Canis lupus familiaris: one gene and its partners. The protein of the gene in region 2 purifies or fractionates together with the protein of the main gene of each other region. This does not show direct contact. Links are inferred from orthologs where the notes say so. Each region holds a gene or a part of one and is shown on either strand. Other genes may lie near its edges.

Region 1 (6,358 bases), on a different chromosome or scaffold from region 2:
GTCATACGTTGCAGGCCACTAGACTGGTAGGGGACCACTCCAAAGACTGCAGACAATTAGCATGCCATATTGAGTACCAGTCATGTGCTGTGTGAATATGTGCTCATGGAATCCTCAAAACTACTACAGAAGCTGTCTACAGAACTATTATATATAAAACACCAGGGCAGCCCCAGTGGCGCAGTGGTTTAGCACTGCCTGCAGCCCAGGGTGTGATCCTGGAGCCTCGGGATCAAGTCCCACATCGGGCTCCCTGCATGGAGCCTGCTTCTCCCTCTGCCTGTGTCCCTGCCTCTCTCTCTCTCTCTCTCTGTGTTTCTCATGAATAAATAAATAAAATTAAAAAAAAAAACAAAAAACAAAAAAAAACACACCATATTCATCAGCCCCATTATATAACTGAAAAGGAAAGTGAGAGAGGTGAAATCACTTGTCCTGGGAATGGATTTCAAACCCAGCTCTGCCCAGCTCCAAGGTCATACTCATTACAGTAAAAGCCATGGAAGAAGGGGCAGGAGGTTAGTACAACTACTTTCCCTGGAGAAGGCAAAGAGAAAGGGAAAAAGAAGTGGTACTCGTTTTACAGACGGCCAAACTAAGGCCTGGAGCAGATAATTAACTTGTTCAAAGTCAAAGAGCAAGTTGGTGACAAGTCTGGAAGCCACTTTGTCACTCTCCAGTCCAGTGAGCCAGTGAGTCATCACAGATCAGTTTGGATGGGGTAAATTGGCTGAAAACTGGAGGACAGATTCAGTAGACAGAGGCATGAGAGCAAGAACCATGCTGGAGAATGGGGAAGCGTGGACCAGGGAGCTGGGCAGAAGCAGCCTGTGCCACACTCTAAGACGCTTGCCCCTCTTCCACCTCCCCTGGGCTGGAAAACTGTCCATGACTAGCAAGAAGACGCCCAATTAAATACAAATGAATCCACCCAGTGAAATATAATTTACAGCCAGTAGCACAAAAACACACATTTTCTACAGGGAATATGTACCTTTCTAAAAACATAGGTTTTTTTTTTTTTTTTTTTAGATGCTTGGACTAAACCATTAAATGAAAAAAGCAAGATCACATATTCATTAAAATAGCCACAACACGTTTGATTAAATGAGTAAAATAAGTGAAATGAGTAGGGAGAAAATCTTGTGTTTGTAAAATTATGTGTGTTTTGGTTATCGGCGTGTGGAAAAAAGCCAGGAGAGAAATACTTGACAATAATAAGAGCAGGTGGGATGATGGATGATCTTTATTTTCTCCTTTTTGTTACTTCTGTTTTCTAGATTTACTGTAAATCTAGTTCTCTCTATAAACATCAAATATACATTTAAAAAATGTAATAACTGTTATAACTCCAACTACAGAAAAGCAACTACATTAGAAAGAAGAAAAGCAACGGAGAAAGACTGTCACAGGATGGGGATGTGGTTGTTAAGTAGCTGAATCTGGGAAATGGTTTTTTCCCCCTTAATTCTTTGAATTTCTTACAATGTTATCGGAGTGAGATTTCTTAAAAAAAAAAAAAAAAAAAAAAAATTGGTCTGGGGGCACCTGGGAGGCTCAGTCGGTCTGACTCTTGGTTTTGGCTCAGGTCATGATCTCAGGGTCATGAGATCAAGCCCCACTTTGGGCTCTGCACTCAGCCTGGAGATTCTCTCTCTCTCCCTTTGTCCTCCCCCAGCTCACACACTTGCTATCTTTCTCCCTCTCAAAAATAAATAAACACAATCTTTTTAAAAAATTAATTTTTTAAAAATAGGGGTGCCTGGGCAGCTCAGACAGTTAAGTGACTTAAGATTTTATTTACTTATTTGAGAGATGAAGAGAGAGTGAGTAAGAGAGACCACATGAACAGGGTACCTGCCAGGCTCGATCCTAGGACTCTGGGATCACGACCTGAGCAAAGGGAGACGCTTAACTGACTGACCCACTCAGGCACCCCATGGTCTGTGTATATTCTTGACAAGTAATTTCACATCTAGAGATCATCTATAAGGACTTAGGTATAAGGGTAGCCAGTGCACATGGTGTTTTTAATAGTGAAAAACTGCAAACTATCTACACATCCGATAATTGAGGCGTGGTTGAATTAAGCTACATCCATAATGGAACACCATTCAGTGGTTAAAAAACATAAAAGATCTATTCATACTGACAAGGAAGGCAGTTCACAATAGATGACTAGGTGAAAAAAAAAAGCAAGTTGTAGAATATATCAAGCATGATTCCATCAATTAAAAAAAAATCTACTTAAATCAGAAAATACTTAAATAACAAGATGAAAATGTTAATTAATCATACAGTATCCAGAGACAACCATTATTAATTAACATTTTAGTGTGTAGCCTTCCACACATTTTCCATGCATGCACACATTTTTAGTAAAGAAAAGGGGGGAACAAAAGGAAGATTCTGGTTGGTAACCAGCTTTCTTTTTTCTCAATACGTTTTGTACAATTTCCCATAGCAATATAAAGAAACCATTATTATAACTTGTAATAGCTGTATACTTTTTCACTGAGTGGATATAACGTTATTTAAAGTCTCCTACTGATGTGCATTTATGTTATCCTTATTTATTGTAAGAGAAGAGCTCCTACTTGGAATGGAAACACACACTCTCTCTCCCTCCCGACTCTTCTAAGTATCTCCTTAGTTATCTCTAGAGGGTGGGATTAAAGAGTTTCCTTGACAAGGTTCAAACAGCACATCTATTATCTTTTATAATCAGCAAATAAAAGAATTTGCTTTGAAAAATACTATAGGCAGGAAGAAGGGAAAAGAAATAAACAAAGAACAAAAGGAAACAGCTGTGAGCTGAGATTGAGGGTTTGTAGCACACATGCACACTGGATGAGGGGCTCTATGCTCACCTGATCCCAAAGACACAGTGGATGTAATTCCAGATGGCCCTTCGGAGCATGGAGGTGTCTACTCCACTGTGCATGGCAATGGTGTTGTAGGTAAGGCTATAGGCTGCCTGGAACTTCTCATCCAGCAGCTGCCCACCCTCAGGGTAAAGCCGCTGGATCAGTGAATAGCCATGGTCTTCCCAGGTATAATCCTGAAAAATGTGGGAAGGGGTCAGGGAGTATAATCTTGGCGGTCCAAGGTTGGCCATAGGGACCCCATCCTCTGGAGCACAATTTCACTCTTTATAGTCTCTTTCCTGCCCCACAGATCTAACCTGCTGCCTGATCTGGGCCTGCTGCTTGGTCTGGGAGAAGCCAAAGAGAATGCACCTTGGTGATGACCTTCTCCCTGTGACCAGGATCCCCTGAGCTTAGGGCACAGATAGGTCCTGACACAATCTAGGGTCTCCCATTTCCCTCACAGAATCTCAAGGGAGAAGATGCCTGGCTTTCTAACCACTCAAGCCATCCACCCCTTGCTTGTTTGTAAACCCAGTGCAATGCCAACAAGACCCTAGAGAACCTACCTGGGCACGGAAGGTGGGGGGCGCCTCAGACCCTCGCCGGGTAAAGTCCTCATATCCGAAAGCGGGGTCCTCCACAAAGCACAGCATGTCTGGGTGTGGAGAAGGCTCCAGGATGTCGGCTAAGGATGTCAGAAACAGGTCACAGTGAGGCCAAGGCATGGAGTACAGGAGCATCTACTCCTGATTAATCAATAATGGGTGGGGGTAGATGAGGCTGCCCATGGACCCGGCGGATAAGGCCCCCAGTAATAATCATAGCAATCCTGACAACAGTAGTTATTCATGGAGCCACTTACTCTGTGCTAAGAGTTTTGCTTCCATTGTCCCATTTACCCCACAAACCAATCCTTCACGTGGGAGGAGACTGAGGCCCCGAGACAGAAAGTGAATTCTCAGGGGTCACATTGCCAGAGGGGCTGACCCTAAAGTCCATGCTCGGAACCTCCTAGAAGAAGTGATTGAGATGTGGCTGCCTCCAAAATATAAGAGGGGCCATGCATGGAGTTGCCTACTCCCCAGCAGAGATGGTGTAAGAAGGGGGCAGCCCCTGGAACCTGGCTTCCTGTGACGCTGTACCTGAGGGAGTCACCAGAAGGCTCTCCGACTTCTCCAGCTCAAAGCGGCTCTCCATCTCCTCCTGGGATGCTCCTTCATCCCGTAACAGACTCTCCTGGAGCTGCCTCATGCGTTCCATCAAAGCTTCCACGTCTCGGGCAGCCTCAAAGCCCTGCAGGAGGGACCCCATGGTGACCACTTACTCCTCAGCCCCAGGAAACTCCACACATCCTTCCCATAAGCCAGGCCACCCCGAGCGACCACAGGGGCGCACTGCCTCCCGAGGCAGCCAGTGGGCTGGGCAGCTAGTGTGTTGTACTTCAAGGGGCATCTAGGTGGCTCGGTTAAGTGTCTGCCTATGGCTCTCAGGTCCTGGGATCAAGCCCTGCCGTATCCTGGCTCCCTCTTCCTCAGGGAGACTGCTCTTCCCTTGCCCTCTGCCCCTCCCCCTGCCTGTGCCTGTTCTCTCGCTCTCCCTAATAAAAAAATAAAATCTTAAAAAAAAAAAAAAAAAACAACAACAACAACAAAAAAAAACTGATGCCTGGGTGGCTCAGCAGTTGAGCATCTGTATTTGGCTCAGGGCGTGATCCTGGAGTCCTGGGATCAAGTCCCACATCGGGCTTCCTGCATGGAGCCTGCTTCTCCCTCTGTTTGTGTCTCTGCCTCTCTCTATGTGTCTCTCATGAATAAATAAAAAAAATCTTCAAAAAAAAAGTGAAGTTTAAGAAGCTATGGAATAGGCATGTCTTCTCTGACCATCAACCTCCCTCACTGGAAAGGGGATTATTAAAGTATCTGTAATTTTATATTAAAACAAACAAGGCCATCTGATGGAGTAAGAGGCAAACTTTCTAAAGTGCTAATACTCAGGAGACCTTATGCCTAAGACGCTACATGCCAAGGGGCCTACCACATGGTTATTTCATTTGATCCTCACAACCCTTATGAAGTAGGGGTCTGTAGCCTCATTTCACAGATGAGGAAACCAAGTTTCAAAGTCAATTAACTTTTCTGAGGCCTCTCAGCGTGAGATAGGGAAGCACTGGCTTCCATGCAAGGACCAGAGGCCATGCGAGCTTCTTCTCCCAACAAGACCCAGGCCCATGACTTACCCCAGAGTTGTTCATTGGGTCCCTGCTGGGTGGGCTACTCTGCCCACTGGGGGGTGAAGGTGCCTGGGGGGCAGGGCTGCCCTCTGAGTCCCCCTCAGGGAGGATGCCACAGCCAAACACAAAGGAGGCCAGTGAATGGCAGTGGGTGAGCAGGACCAGTGCCTGGATGAGCTCTGCCAGAGACCAGCTGTGCTCGCCTGTCTTCAGCAAGGCCTGGAGAGGAAAGAAGGCCAGACTGGCTCAGTGCCTGGCCCTAGGCTGACTGCCTGACATGCCCCAGCCCGGCCCCTTTGCTCCCACTGCCTCTCTGCCCATGGCACCTGGATATGTTCCTTGGTGATGAGCCACGGCCGGTGTGCCAGCAACTTGTTGATCTCACTGAGCTTGCGTAGCTTCTCGGGGGCACGATGGAGACCAAGTAGCCACTCAGGGTCACCACCCGTCTGCAGAAACTCAGCCATGTGAGAACCCACCAAGTAAGAACACTGATGGCGGGCGGCAGCCTGTGGAGGGGGTGGACAGATCCTTGCTCAGGGTAGATACCCCATGGAGGGAGAAATCCCAGACCTCACTGTGGCCAGAGAGGCAGGACTCTAAGGTCCTGACCCCAGCTCCACTAGTTTGCTCTCCTTCCTTGGTCAGGTCATCTGACTCCTTTGTGCCTGTTTCCTTCTTCATAAAGTAGGCACTAAAAATGCCTCTTTGGGATGCCTGGGTGGCTCAGTCAGTTAAGCATCTGACTTGCTATCAGCTCAGGTCTTGATTTATCTCAGGGTTATGAGTTCAATCCCCGCATTGGGCTCCATGCTGAGTATGGAGCCTACTTAATTAAAAAAAAAAAAAAAGAAAGTCTCTCTTCACAATTCTGTGGATGATTAGATAAAGTTAGGGCTTTCCTCTGCACTGTGCAACCTTTCCTTCTGGGCTATGGAATGAATTTAGGAAGCACCCAGCAAAGAGATCTCAAGACCAAAACCCCCCATGTGGCCAACCCTACAAGAGTTGGACTCAGACAGGCTCACCATGATGGCAATGTAGTGGCGCCAGGAGCTGGCCAGGGGCCCATCTGTGTGCAGCAAGAGGTAGTGCAGACGCCAAAAGCAGCTAAGATAGTCAGGGTGCAGGCCCATCACCACTGCCAGATTGTCCACCCGTCCAGAGGACATCAGTGCCTCTAGCCTCAGGTGCTGCTCCAGGCTCTCAGCTCCCTCCTGAAGGACCTGCCAAGCAAAGGAGAGAGGGTGAGTTCCCA
Region 2 (6,358 bases):
AAAAAAGGAAAGGGCCAGCCTCAGTTGCTAGGCATGCTGAATTGAGATGTGTCATATGCGTAAAATTCATACCGAGTGAAGACTTAGTACAAAAATAAGAATGTAAACTCTCGCAATAATTTTTACATGGATCACATGCTGATATGATTATTCTTTGCATATAATGGATTAAGTAAAAAAATTAATGAAATTAATTTACCTGCTACTTTCAAATTTTTTTAGTGTAGCTACTAGAAAATTTTAAAAATTTGTGCAGCCTGCATTATATTTCTATCAGACAGCACTGAATTAGACTTCTAAAGACACTTCCAGGATCCCTGGGTGGCTCAGCGGTTGAGCATCTGCCTTTGGCCCAGGGCGTGATCCTGGAGTCCTGGGATTGAGTCCCGTATCAGGCTCCCTGCATAGGGCCTGCTTCTCCCTCTGCCTATGTCTCTGCCCCCTCTCTCTGTGTCTCTCATGAATAAATAAATAAAATATTTTAAAAAAAGACACTTCATAATCCTATCATTTTTATAACAATAGGAAAATCTTTTTTGTATGTGCAAATAAGACAATGAAATATTCAAATTCCGAGTATAGACAAACAGACTCTTAGACTCTTAAAGAACAAACAGATGGTTACCAGAGGGGAGGTGGGTGGGAGGATGGCTGAAATAGGTGATGGGGATTAAAGAGTGCACTTCTGATGAGCACTGAGTAATGTATAAAATTGCTGAATCACTATATTAGTACACTTGAAACTAATTTAATATAATGCTATATGTTAATTATGTTTGAAAAGAAAAAAAATTCCAAGCACAAAATGTACCTATGCTACCAAATCAAAGTAGCATTTGAGAGATCCCTATACCACTTGAAAGATTTCTTGGTTACATATCTTCCTCCAGGAAGATGGGTCAAGTGTATATGATACAAACTAGGCAAAAGGTGAATAGCACTTGGGTCAGCTTGGTTTGTCAGAACATTTCAGTTATTTCACTCATGATGCTGCTCATGCTGAAAAACGTGTATCATGCCCAGCTCGTGGGGCTTCTTTAATGGAGATTCTGCTGATTAGTTCTGCATGAACTGACAAAGCAAATTCCTGAGCCTGCAGGAGAAAGGACCTACAGGAGCAAGTTAGATGCCAGACTAACCCACCTCCATTCAGGCACCAGCATTCCTTCAGATACCTCACCCGTGCAGCCAGCCGAGCCTCACCTGAGGACGACACCACTTCCTTTCAGGGAATGGATTTTTTAAAATTACCTTATATTTTGTTTTTGTTTGTTGTTTGTTTTTTAAGTAGGCTCAATGCCCAGAGTGGAGCCTAACACAAGGTTTGAACTCACGACCCTGGGATCAAGACATGAGCTGAGATTAAGAGTTGGACACTTAACTGACTGAGCCCCCCATGCACCTCCTGTTTTCTGATTATAAAATATCTTTTAGCTTCAGAATACATCTTGCCTACTGTTTCCAGATAAATTAAAATGTATTGCAGGGTTCTTAACCTGAGATTAATGCATACTTTTAATGAGATCTATGAGCAGATTATATACAATTATAGAACTACATCTATTTACATGCAATATTTCTGAAATTATATACATTTATGCAAATTTTTCTGAGGAAGGGTCTACTATTTTCATTAGATGTTCAAAGCGGGTCCATGATCCAAAAAGGTTAAGAACCACTGCTCTAACATTTTCTATACACAGTGAATATCAACAGTTAACACTGACGCACATAAGCACAGATGACTTTCAAATCTTTATCTACTGGAGTTTTCATTTAGCTTTACCACTCAACCTAGACACTGATGCCCATGAACAGAGTTTTCCTCTTACAACACTAAGGAGAATTTGTGAACACAGACCCCCACCTTTAGCAGCTTGGCTTTCATCGTGGAGGTGATGGTTGTGGGGTTGATGAACTGGAAGGAAGGGGCAGCGTTGTTGGGGTACTGCGCCGGGAACTTCACCAGCATCTTGACACGGTGGCTGCTGCAGTGCACAGACACCGTGCAGCTCCTGTCTGCCGCATCCATCTGCAGATGACAAAGGGACAACTGCTCGAGAGACGAACCATCAGGCATCTCTAGATACAAATGAATTTAGACAAGTTAGCTGCAAGCTCTAGGTTCCTGGGACCTGGGGAAAGGGAGACTCTCCAGAGACAAATGAATTTGGAAGATTTATAAAACTCATGTTCAAGACCGATCTTTAACTTTAGCACTGATTTAATAAGTTCAAAGTAATTTGACTTAAAAAAGCTTCATCCTAAAGCTGTGAGGTAGACTGAAACTTGTTATATTTAAGATGAGAAAATAAAGCATGAAGAATTGAAATACTGGATTCAATTGAAAAGTACTCCTAGAAAAATCCATGGAGACACCAAGTGGATTACTGGGTGCCAAGGGTGGGGATGGGGGGGCAATGGGATGTGACTGCAGATGGGTATAGGGTTTTTCAGAGACAATGAAAATGCTTTGGAATTAAGGACGATGGTGGCACAGCTTTGTGACTATACTATGAAATACCAAATTGTACACGTTAGAAGGGTAAATTTGATGATGTGTGAGTTATATCTCAATACTTTTGAAAAAGCACTCCTTGCAAAGCAATCAAGATCTCCCTCTTAAACTAGAATCACTAGGCTAACAACACTGTTCTCAACAAAGGGGGTGTGATCTAAATTGATACAGATAACCAATTAATCAAGGAATCCTTTCACTGTCTTGATTTCTCATGCTGCCAACCAGAAAAGGCTGCTGGAGTAGAGTGGGAAAAGGCACACATGTGGGAAGTCAAGAGACAGATTCAAATATCTCTTCCACGAAATAGCTGCTGACCTCAGACAAGTCATTACATCTCTTAGTGTCTGTTTCTCCTTCTGTAAAGTAGGGAGAAAAGCATGTATTGCAGAGCCTTCTAAAGGCCAAAGGAGGGACACTTGGGTGGCTCAGTCGATTAAGCACCCAACTCTTGATTTTGGCTCAGGTCATGATCTCAGAGTTGTGAGATCAACCCCTGCATTGGGCTCCACGCTAGGTGCGGAGTCTGCTTAGAATTCTCTCTCCCTCTGCCCTTCCCCACAACCCCTCAAAAAAAGGACAAAGGAGATAATTATGGACACACACGTATCCATGACTACTGTTAGTTGAATATAGGCCAAAAAGAAACAAACCAAGATTCAAAACTTCACAGACTCAATTCTCTGAAGGAAACCATTTCAAAACCACCCCAAAAGGAAGGGAGCAAACTTTCCATGTGTTAAATAAACAAAGAGGTTTGGTGACCTTCTTACTATGAATCTAAGTTATCAAGAAAGTGACCAGCTTTAAGGGAAGACAGCACAGCAGAGCCTACAGAACATTGGCAGGTCAGGTTTAGCTTCCAAACTCAGCTCTGCCATTAACTATACTAGTAACCTTTGACAAAACACTAAGCCTTTCTGGATCTGAGTAAATGCCACCCATGGTAAAATGAGGAACTGAGGCATCTGAGAGGATTTTAAGATACACGAGCATGAATTTATTCTTTGGTTCATCTTACGAGAAAATATTACGGTGAGGCTGTAATTTGCATTTATCAAACATCTCTTTCTCTAGAAAACCTCAAAAATAAAAAAAGCAAGCAGAGGGATTTACCAGTTAGAGCAACAAAGCTATTAGCTAACCGGAATCACAGCTGAAATCGGGCCCTTGCCCACCAAGCACCACCCGCCAGCATGAGAGAATCCCCTAAAGTAGTGAGCACCTCAACGTTGACATTCCGGATCTGCACATTGATCAAAGAGAACTCCTGCTGCAGAGTCTGAGGCAGCCCCAGCTGTTCCGACCTCTTCTCTTCCAGGATACTGCTTGGCGGGTCTTCCTTTAAGACTAGCAGGAGGGAGAGGTTCTTCAGTGGTTGGAAAACAGTTTTGAAAGTGAGCCCAAGAGCAGTTCTGGGGCATCTGCCGTAACTCTGAAATGCAGAGAGGGGCACCTCACCTGAAACACTAGTTTGGCCAATTACCTTCTTCCTCCCCATGGCTTGAGCTGTGCTGGTGATCCGTATCTTGAGTGTGAAGGGTCTTCTCTGGCTCCGGCAGAAGAGAAATGCTCTCAATGAACTCATCAACACCATCCAATATGTCGTTTGCACAAAGCTGTGACAAAGGGTAGAAGATCTAGCTCTACAAAAGTCAGTGGAAATGATCATCATGGCTAGTTAAGAGTTCAGACTTTAAAAAGTCTGATGACTTTAAAAAACCCCGATGCCTGGGGGGCTCGGTGGTTGAACATCTGCCTTTGGCTCAGGTCGAGGCCCGCATCAGGCTCCCTGCAGGTAGCTTACTTCTCCTTCCGCCTATGTCTTTGCCTCTCTCTCTGTGTCTCTCATGAATAAATAAACAAAGGCTAAAGATGTCAGCCAAAACCCGATATAATCAAAATAGGTGTCACCCACCACCAGACCTACCTGGTTAAATACCTAGGAGAATAGACTCTTTTAACTACCCTGGAAAAAAAAAAAAAAAAAAAAAACTACCCTGGAAATTTTTCATCCTGTTCACAGTTTAGGCAAGCCTCAGAAAACATTATTTTAAAAATTTCAAGCCTTTCTGGAGTTGGTCAGCTAGCCCAAAACCAAAAATGAACAAATGGTACCTTCTGGAAAAAATATATTTGAAAGGCAGTAGGTGATGATACTTAACCAAAATGCTCAGAGTGACTTTATACTAAGCAGCAAATTCTTTTTAAGATTGATTCATTCATTCATTGATTTTTAAGTAATCTCTACACCCAACATGGGGCTCAAATTTACAACCCTGAGATCAAGAGTTGGATGTTCTCTGAGGCCCCTGGGTGGCTCAGTCAGCTGAATGTCTGACTCTTGGTTTTGGTTCAGGTCACAGTCTCAGGATCATGGGACTGAGGCCTATGTTGAGCTCCACACTCAGCCACGAATCTGCTTGTACCTCTCCTTTCCCTTCTGCTCCTCCCCAGCACCCCCATCTCTCAAGTAAATAAATAAAATCTTTAAAAAAAGAAAGTTGCAGGCTCTCATTCTTAGGTTTTGGCATTAAAAAAAAAAAAAGAACTGCATGCTCCACCAACTGAGCCAGCAAGGCACCCTGCAAATTGCAAATTTTACCCAGTATCTTTTATTGACCTTATCCAAAGCATCATGGGGGAAGCAACATAAGTGAAGCATGGTTCCTGCCTTTAAGAAATGTAGCCAGTGAGTGAAAGAATCGTTCTGAGATGGAATATAGCAAGGGCAACAGCAGTTCACACCAGGTACAAACCATTATGGTTCATATAAGAAGCATTATCATTTATGGGGCAAACATTGGAAAGGTATTCATAGAATACCTTTTCATAGGTGCTGCTGATGGATGTAAAGGGCTCTGAACACTGCAGAGAGTAAGGTTAGACTTCCTAGTTCATTTAGAAGAAGAGAAAGAAATGAGGTCCACAGGCCATTTGCTCAGTGGGCTACCCAGACTCTCATACCAGGACAAGAGAAAAGGCAGTCAGAGGCTTTTCACGCTTAAAAGTACCAAATACTAAAGTTGGCTCTTGAAAACCTCAAAGCCTCAGTGTGGCCTACACATGCCACTCAGGCCACCAGCAACTATTATTAAATGTCTACCACATATCCTCTAACTGCCACAAATACTAAATCTTGTATTTTTTTTTTTAAGTTTCTAGTGTATCCAGTTACACTCCTCCACAACAGCACTGAATACATACCCTCTGCATCTGGGAATCCACCCGCCACATTCTCAGCGTCTGATCTCGTGACCATGTTACCAGTTGGTAGTCCTTGGACCCTAGAAATCACCAAATGAAAATCCTGGAATTTTTTTTTTTTTTAATTCAACATCAATTTTGCAACAGGTTGCACTGGAGTGAGATTCTTTCATTCATTCCTTCATCCATCCATTCAACAAATACTTACTGACCATCTCCTAGATGCCAGGCACTGCTCTAAGATACCTGGACAAGCATGAATATCACAGCCTCTGCCTTTATAGATCTCACAGCTCAGTGGTGGCAATTGACAAATGGATAAATACATAATAAAATGTCTGGTAGTGATAGTGTTATTAAAAAAAAAAAAAAACACCCAGGATAAGAGAACTGATGGCAGAGCTATTTTTAAACAGGACTCCCTGAGGAAGTCACATTTGAGCAGAAACTTAAATGAAGTGAAATAATAACTGGCAGCTCAGCAGGTGAAGAGGGATGCTGGGATTTAACGTCACATTGAACTTTCGCCTCCACAAATGTTCCTCCTTTTATATGCTCCAGAGGAGCTAAGCGTGAATATGATTTTGTGAAATGAATTGCTTTAAACGTATAATGAAACTTTACTGTTTAAAA
Region 3 (5,037 bases), on a different chromosome or scaffold from region 2:
GCCTGGGCTAACCAGACTGGCTTCCTTTGTTCTAGAACTCTCTAGGGACCCGGGTGGGTCAAAGAGGTGATTCTGTGAGCCCCTACCTCAACCTGGGACAGCTTAAAGCCTATCTGATGGCATCCAGAGCATCAGCCACATGTGAGGTCCAGGGTCATGTCCCCCTCTCAGGTGAGTGTGCCCCAGTCACCTCCCAAACCCTGGCTCACCCCAGGTGGGTCCTGGTATCCCTGGCAATCCCAGAGCAGATCTCTTCATTTATAACCTCTTGAAGGCCAAGCTGACCCAGTGACCCCCAAGGACCCTAATGCCCTGGGAATAAAACCCTCCACCAAGACCCACACACATGTGGCAAAGAGACACACATGGGCTCTAGGCCTGGCTCTAAGTCAGACTACCCAGGGGGGCCCCTTCCCCAGGCCAGTCCTGTGGGCAGTACAAGAACTAACTGCTGCCAGATTAGGACCTGGTTTGAAGGACTGGGCAAAGCCCTAATGTACCTGGAAAGCCATGATAATAGAAACATCTAAATCAGGCAGTGACTCACAAGCAGACAGATGGACAGACCCCTCCACCCCCCGTCCCCCAAAGATGAATGTGGGGCCCAGGAGCTCTCAGGTCAGGAGCCCCAAGGATTCTGGTTCTAAAGCCCCTACTCAGCCCGAACATCCTCTGACCCAGGGTCCAGGCTGTGCCCTCCAGAGGGAGGCCAGAACTCCTCACTCCACCCCCTGACATCAAAATACAAAGCAATGCCCCTTTCCAGTGTCAAAAAGTAGAGGGGTCCTAAAAAAGCTGCCTCCTAGATCTTGATACATGTGAAGAAATGGAGTCTGAAGGGAAGGGGCAGGCCAAGTGTCCCCGACCACTCACTCACCGGGCTGGGCTGTGCGTTCTGCTCCTGTGATCTGCAGCCCCTTGGGTTCCCAGGGGCAGGGCGGGCACACTGCCAGAAGCCTGGCCCCCTTTCTGCCTTTTCTGGGGAGACACTGTGACCTCTAAATACGCCGAAGTCACACCCTTCTTCCTTTCCTGAATGTGGGTGGGTCTGGGCTGAGGGTACCTGATAACCTCCCCAGCACATCTCTAGGGTCCCATCTGGCCCACAGTGGAAGCCCGGTATCATGGAGCAATGAAGCAGCCCCTCTGTGACAGGAGACCCAGGCCCACATGTGCTAAGTCTCTGGACCAGGAAGGCAGCCTCTGAAGGCAGAGTGGGTTCCAGGTGGCCTCCAGGCCCCTGTCCTGGCCAGGGGAAGCCCAGTGCCTGGACTCTCAGGTCTCCACTCTGGCTGGCCCCCTCTTCCTACTACTCCAGGAGAGCCGTGGTGACAAGAACTAACTGATCTCTTGGCCAACAGGGACTCCTGTGAGGGACCTCCAGGACTCAGGCATTGTCCAAAAGCAGGCAGGCAGCAGCCTGGAAGAAGTGTGCTTTGGAGCCCTCCTTGAGGGGTTTCACAACAGGCCAGTCACACCCAAGGTGGCAGGAAAGGCTGGGAAGCGGGGAGGATCTATCTCTAGGTGAGAGGGTCTCAGAGTCTCTAACCATGTTCAGAACTTTCTGGGCTATTCCAGAAGCAGCAAGGAAGGAAGGAAGAGGATGGGCTTCAGAGGCAGGTAGCCCTGCATGGGAATAAGTCACTTCACTTCTCAAAGGTTCAGTTCTCCCTGAGGTGAGAATTGAGTTAGGTGAGCCCAGCCAGAGTCAGGTACATAGGGACAGACCCAGACTTCAGGTAGAGGGGCTGGGAGCAGCAGCAGAGCAGCCCTGTCTGAGCTCAGACAACCCCTATAGACCACAGCCCAACCCTTTAGAACTACAAGCCCTTTATTAACAAGTCAATAAAAAAGGGAGAAAGATGTAAAAATACTTTTCTTGGAGGCCCCCTGAGGGGCAGGCACTGTCAGAACTCACCTGGCCAGGGAAGGCAACCCAGCCAGAGGCAGAACGGAGATAAGGACCCTGTCCAGGGAGTGGCTGGCCCAGGGTGCTGAGAGGGGATGGCTCGGGCCTCAGGCAGGGAATGTGCAAACACTGAGGCCGCGCAGGGAGTGATGGGGTGAGGGGTTCCCGGAGGAAAGCCCAGAGCACCGTGTTCCCCTGCGTGGGCAGACACGCATGTCCACGTGAGAGCCGGTGCCTGCACGCAGCTTATATACAGAGAGCAGAAGGAGGGGGTCCCCCGGCAGGAATGGGGGTGGGGAAGGCTCATCCCAGAGCTCGAGGAAATAGCTTAGAGAAGTCTCTGGAAGCCTGGGGTGAAGGGAGAGTGTGGAGGCCTCAGGAGCTCTGGCCATCCTGCCGTCGCTGAAGGACCTCAATGACACTGTTGATGCCATCCTCAGGCACCTGTGGGCAGGTGGGTGGAGGGAGGGATCAGGGCCATGTCAACTTCCTGGACTACATTCTGCACCCTCCCCCTCCCACCCTCCGGGGCCTCATTGTCCTTCCAGGAGCCCACCCCACGGTGCTTACCAAGGCATGGTCAAAGTTGAAGGTGCTAATGTAATAGGCAGAGATGTCGGCTGCAGCCAGGGGGCCTGCAATCTGGGCCACGATCCCACACTCATCTGAGGGTTGGGGCAGGGGGAAGGAGTCCATGTACATCATCCTGGTCACCCCCTTCGCAGATCTTCCCCAAGTCCCCAACACACAAGAAGCAGCCCTTACCAAAGCCCAAGGGCTGTCCACCAATGCGCACCATCCTCCACAGCTCTCCTGAGGAGCTGGTTAGCAGGAGGTCACTGGGGAATCTGGAAAGGCAGGTGGGTAGTGGGCAGGGCACCCACGCATCCCCTCCCTGCCCCAATGTGAGCCCCTGGAAGCAGGCTGACCTAGTGACCTCAGAGTCTGATGCTCCATTTCCTCCCTCCCTAGGGCTGGCCTTGGGATCTGTGGTCCCTGGGGCTCAGGAGTCACATACTTTTTCTGCGTCTCAGCGTCCATGACGATGGAGATGTAGCCCTCAATGAGGGAGAAGGCAAAGAATGTAATGGAGCTGGGTCCAGTACCACCAGAGGCTGCCTCCTTGGGGGCACTAGAAAAGAACAGGAGGCTCAAGTGCTCTTCGGGGTACCCAGCCCACTGCATCTCCTCCCATCTCTGGGCCACTTTCCTCCCCTGTCTGAGGGCCCTGATACCCTGATGGGGATTGGACAGGGGTGGGAGGGGACGATGAATCTCGCTTGTTTCAAAGATGCTGGACCCCAGGACTGATAGAGGGTCCAACCTAAGGCCTGGGTCAGGGGTGTCTCAGCTTACACTACAGGAAAGGGTTGCAGCTGTGGCATTGGGATCTTCCCTGAACATCAGTGAGGGGCACATGGGTATCACAGGCTGCCAGGAACCCAAGATACAGAACAGGGCACGAGTTACAGAACAAGCAGAAGGTGGTAGGCATAGGGAGCAACGGCATGAGAACACAGCTCACCTGTAGGAGTAGAAGAGGACATCGATGAGCGTGGTAGCGATGGCTGGCAGTGTCTCAGGGTCCAATGTGAGGACACAGAAGCGGTTCTGTGGGCTCTGGATGGGATGCACCGTGGGACTGGGCCCTGGGAGGAGGGACCAGGCAGAGAACTACTGTTAGGGCGACTGTGGGCTGGGGCGCCCCCTGGTGGCCAGATAGGGAGGGGCCTGGGTGGAGGCTAGGGTCCTGCTCTACAGGAACCCTCTTCTCCACCACATCTCCCTATCTTGTGAGGCAGTCTGTGTCAGCCGGTATCCCCACGTCCACAGACCAGCTCTCATAAGGGAAGGGCCCCCGTGGAAAGAGGAGGCCCTGCCTAGGTCTGGGTGTGAGGGTAGCCTCACCATGCTGCGAACGGGGAAAGCCATTGCTGGAATCATCCCTGGCAACAGGCACAGGCTCCCCGCCCACTTCCCGGTAAATGTCGAACTCCTGGGATAGCGTGTGGATCACCACGGACAGGTCCTGTTCCCGCACCTGGACCACAAGAGGAGGATGTAACACGAGTCCCCAGGCACCCATGCCCACCCTGCCCCGGAGCCTGCAGAAAACTCACCAGGATGAAGTCCGTTTGGTAAGTGGACAGCATCAGGACAGACACATGGTGCTCTGCCAGTGGTGCAATGACCGAGCGGGCAATTTTGGTGACTCCGGCAGCCTGCACGGTTGCACCACTGTGAGATGACACGTTCAGCACCAGCCATGTGGCCTCAGCCACTTGAAGGAACTCAGATGGGGGTAGCTCTGTGAGCAGGAAGTATATACCAGGTCAGGGCCTACTGGGCTGGCCCCTGCCCCTTGGCTTCCCTGTCTGTCCAGGAATTGGGGGTGGGGGGGTTCTACGAAGGTAATGGCAGGTCTGGAGACTGGGGCTGTCTCCCTCTCCCAAGTTCTGCTCCTGAGCTGCATGTATGCAAGAACTGAGAAGTGCTTCAGGTGCTGGCCTGCTAGGGATGGAAACTTCCCAGTTAAGACTGGAGCTCCAGAGTCAGACAGACCTGGGTTCAAATCCCGGCTTCACCATTTACTTGCTGTTGACCCGAGGTCAATGATTTAACCTCCCGGATCTCAGTTTCCTCATCAGTAAAATGGGATTGAGAGTATACACCTCATGATAGCTTTTCTTAGACTAACAGAGGTTTTATACCATGTGGCACCAGCAGGGGGCGCCAACAAACCAGGTTGGCTGAAGGAAGCCTTTCTCCCTTAGCCGACCCAGACTTTACTGCAGTACAAACGGGGAAACTAAAGTCTAAAAGGCTGCAGTGAAGTATGGGCCGAGCCTCAGTTTCGTGGTCTGCGACTCCAGGCCTGTGAAGAGGGGTCAGGCTGGCAGGAGTAGGAGCCAGATGTCAGCTTCAGGAACCAGGGAGAAAACAGGCTGGTGTCCAGGCCACAGCAGCAGCCAGGAGGCCCCCCAGGTCCTGGACATGGGCTGGCTGCCTGCTCCTGCACTCCTTTTCCAACCCTCAGACTCCTGGAGTTCCCAGACCAGCCAGGGAGGGGGTGACCGGCACCAGAGAGATAAGTGCAGGGAGAAATAATGGCCAGGGGGAATATAACT

What was found.
Region 1: the proteins of WDR59 (region 2) and SESN2 purify together in Homo sapiens (affinity purification with western blotting; 4 studies listed by BioGRID and IntAct, with this or other methods). This does not show direct contact. The link is inferred for Canis lupus familiaris from reciprocal best matches to the Homo sapiens genes WDR59 and SESN2.
Region 3: the proteins of WDR59 (region 2) and CASTOR1 purify together in Homo sapiens (affinity purification with mass spectrometry; 3 studies listed by BioGRID and IntAct, counting the BioPlex papers as one, with this or other methods). This does not show direct contact. The link is inferred for Canis lupus familiaris from reciprocal best matches to the Homo sapiens genes WDR59 and CASTOR1.

The regions. Positions count from the first base shown.
Region 1 is NC_049223.1:71,548,616-71,554,973, forward strand, and holds part of SESN2 (sestrin-2), read right to left. Parts: intron 6,327-6,358; coding exon 6,129-6,326; intron 5,610-6,128; coding exon 5,427-5,609; intron 5,320-5,426; coding exon 5,107-5,319; intron 4,164-5,106; coding exon 4,013-4,163; intron 3,556-4,012; coding exon 3,437-3,555; intron 3,062-3,436; coding exon 2,871-3,061; intron 1-2,870. UniProt on the Homo sapiens protein: Functions as an intracellular leucine sensor that negatively regulates the mTORC1 signaling pathway through the GATOR complex. In absence of leucine, binds the GATOR subcomplex GATOR2 and prevents mTORC1 signaling.
Region 2 is NC_049226.1:76,336,572-76,342,929, reverse strand, and holds part of WDR59 (GATOR complex protein WDR59), read right to left. Parts: intron 5,806-6,358; coding exon 5,726-5,805; intron 4,138-5,725; coding exon 4,005-4,137; intron 3,869-4,004; coding exon 3,744-3,868; intron 2,033-3,743; coding exon 1,868-2,032; intron 1,204-1,867; coding exon of another isoform or gene 1,177-1,203; exon of another isoform or gene 1,144-1,176; intron 1-1,143. UniProt on the Homo sapiens protein: As a component of the GATOR2 complex, functions as an activator of the amino acid-sensing branch of the mTORC1 signaling pathway. The GATOR2 complex indirectly activates mTORC1 through the inhibition of the GATOR1 subcomplex.
Region 3 is NC_049247.1:23,846,497-23,851,533, forward strand, and holds the end of CASTOR1 (cytosolic arginine sensor for mTORC1 subunit 1), read right to left. Parts: intron 4,218-5,037; coding exon 4,030-4,217; intron 3,951-4,029; coding exon 3,818-3,950; intron 3,559-3,817; coding exon 3,435-3,558; intron 3,042-3,434; coding exon 2,928-3,041; intron 2,758-2,927; coding exon 2,675-2,757; intron 2,575-2,674; coding exon 2,480-2,574; intron 2,354-2,479; coding exon 2,285-2,353; 3' UTR 1,814-2,284; downstream 1-1,813. UniProt on the Homo sapiens protein: Functions as an intracellular arginine sensor within the amino acid-sensing branch of the TORC1 signaling pathway. As a homodimer or a heterodimer with CASTOR2, binds and inhibits the GATOR subcomplex GATOR2 and thereby mTORC1.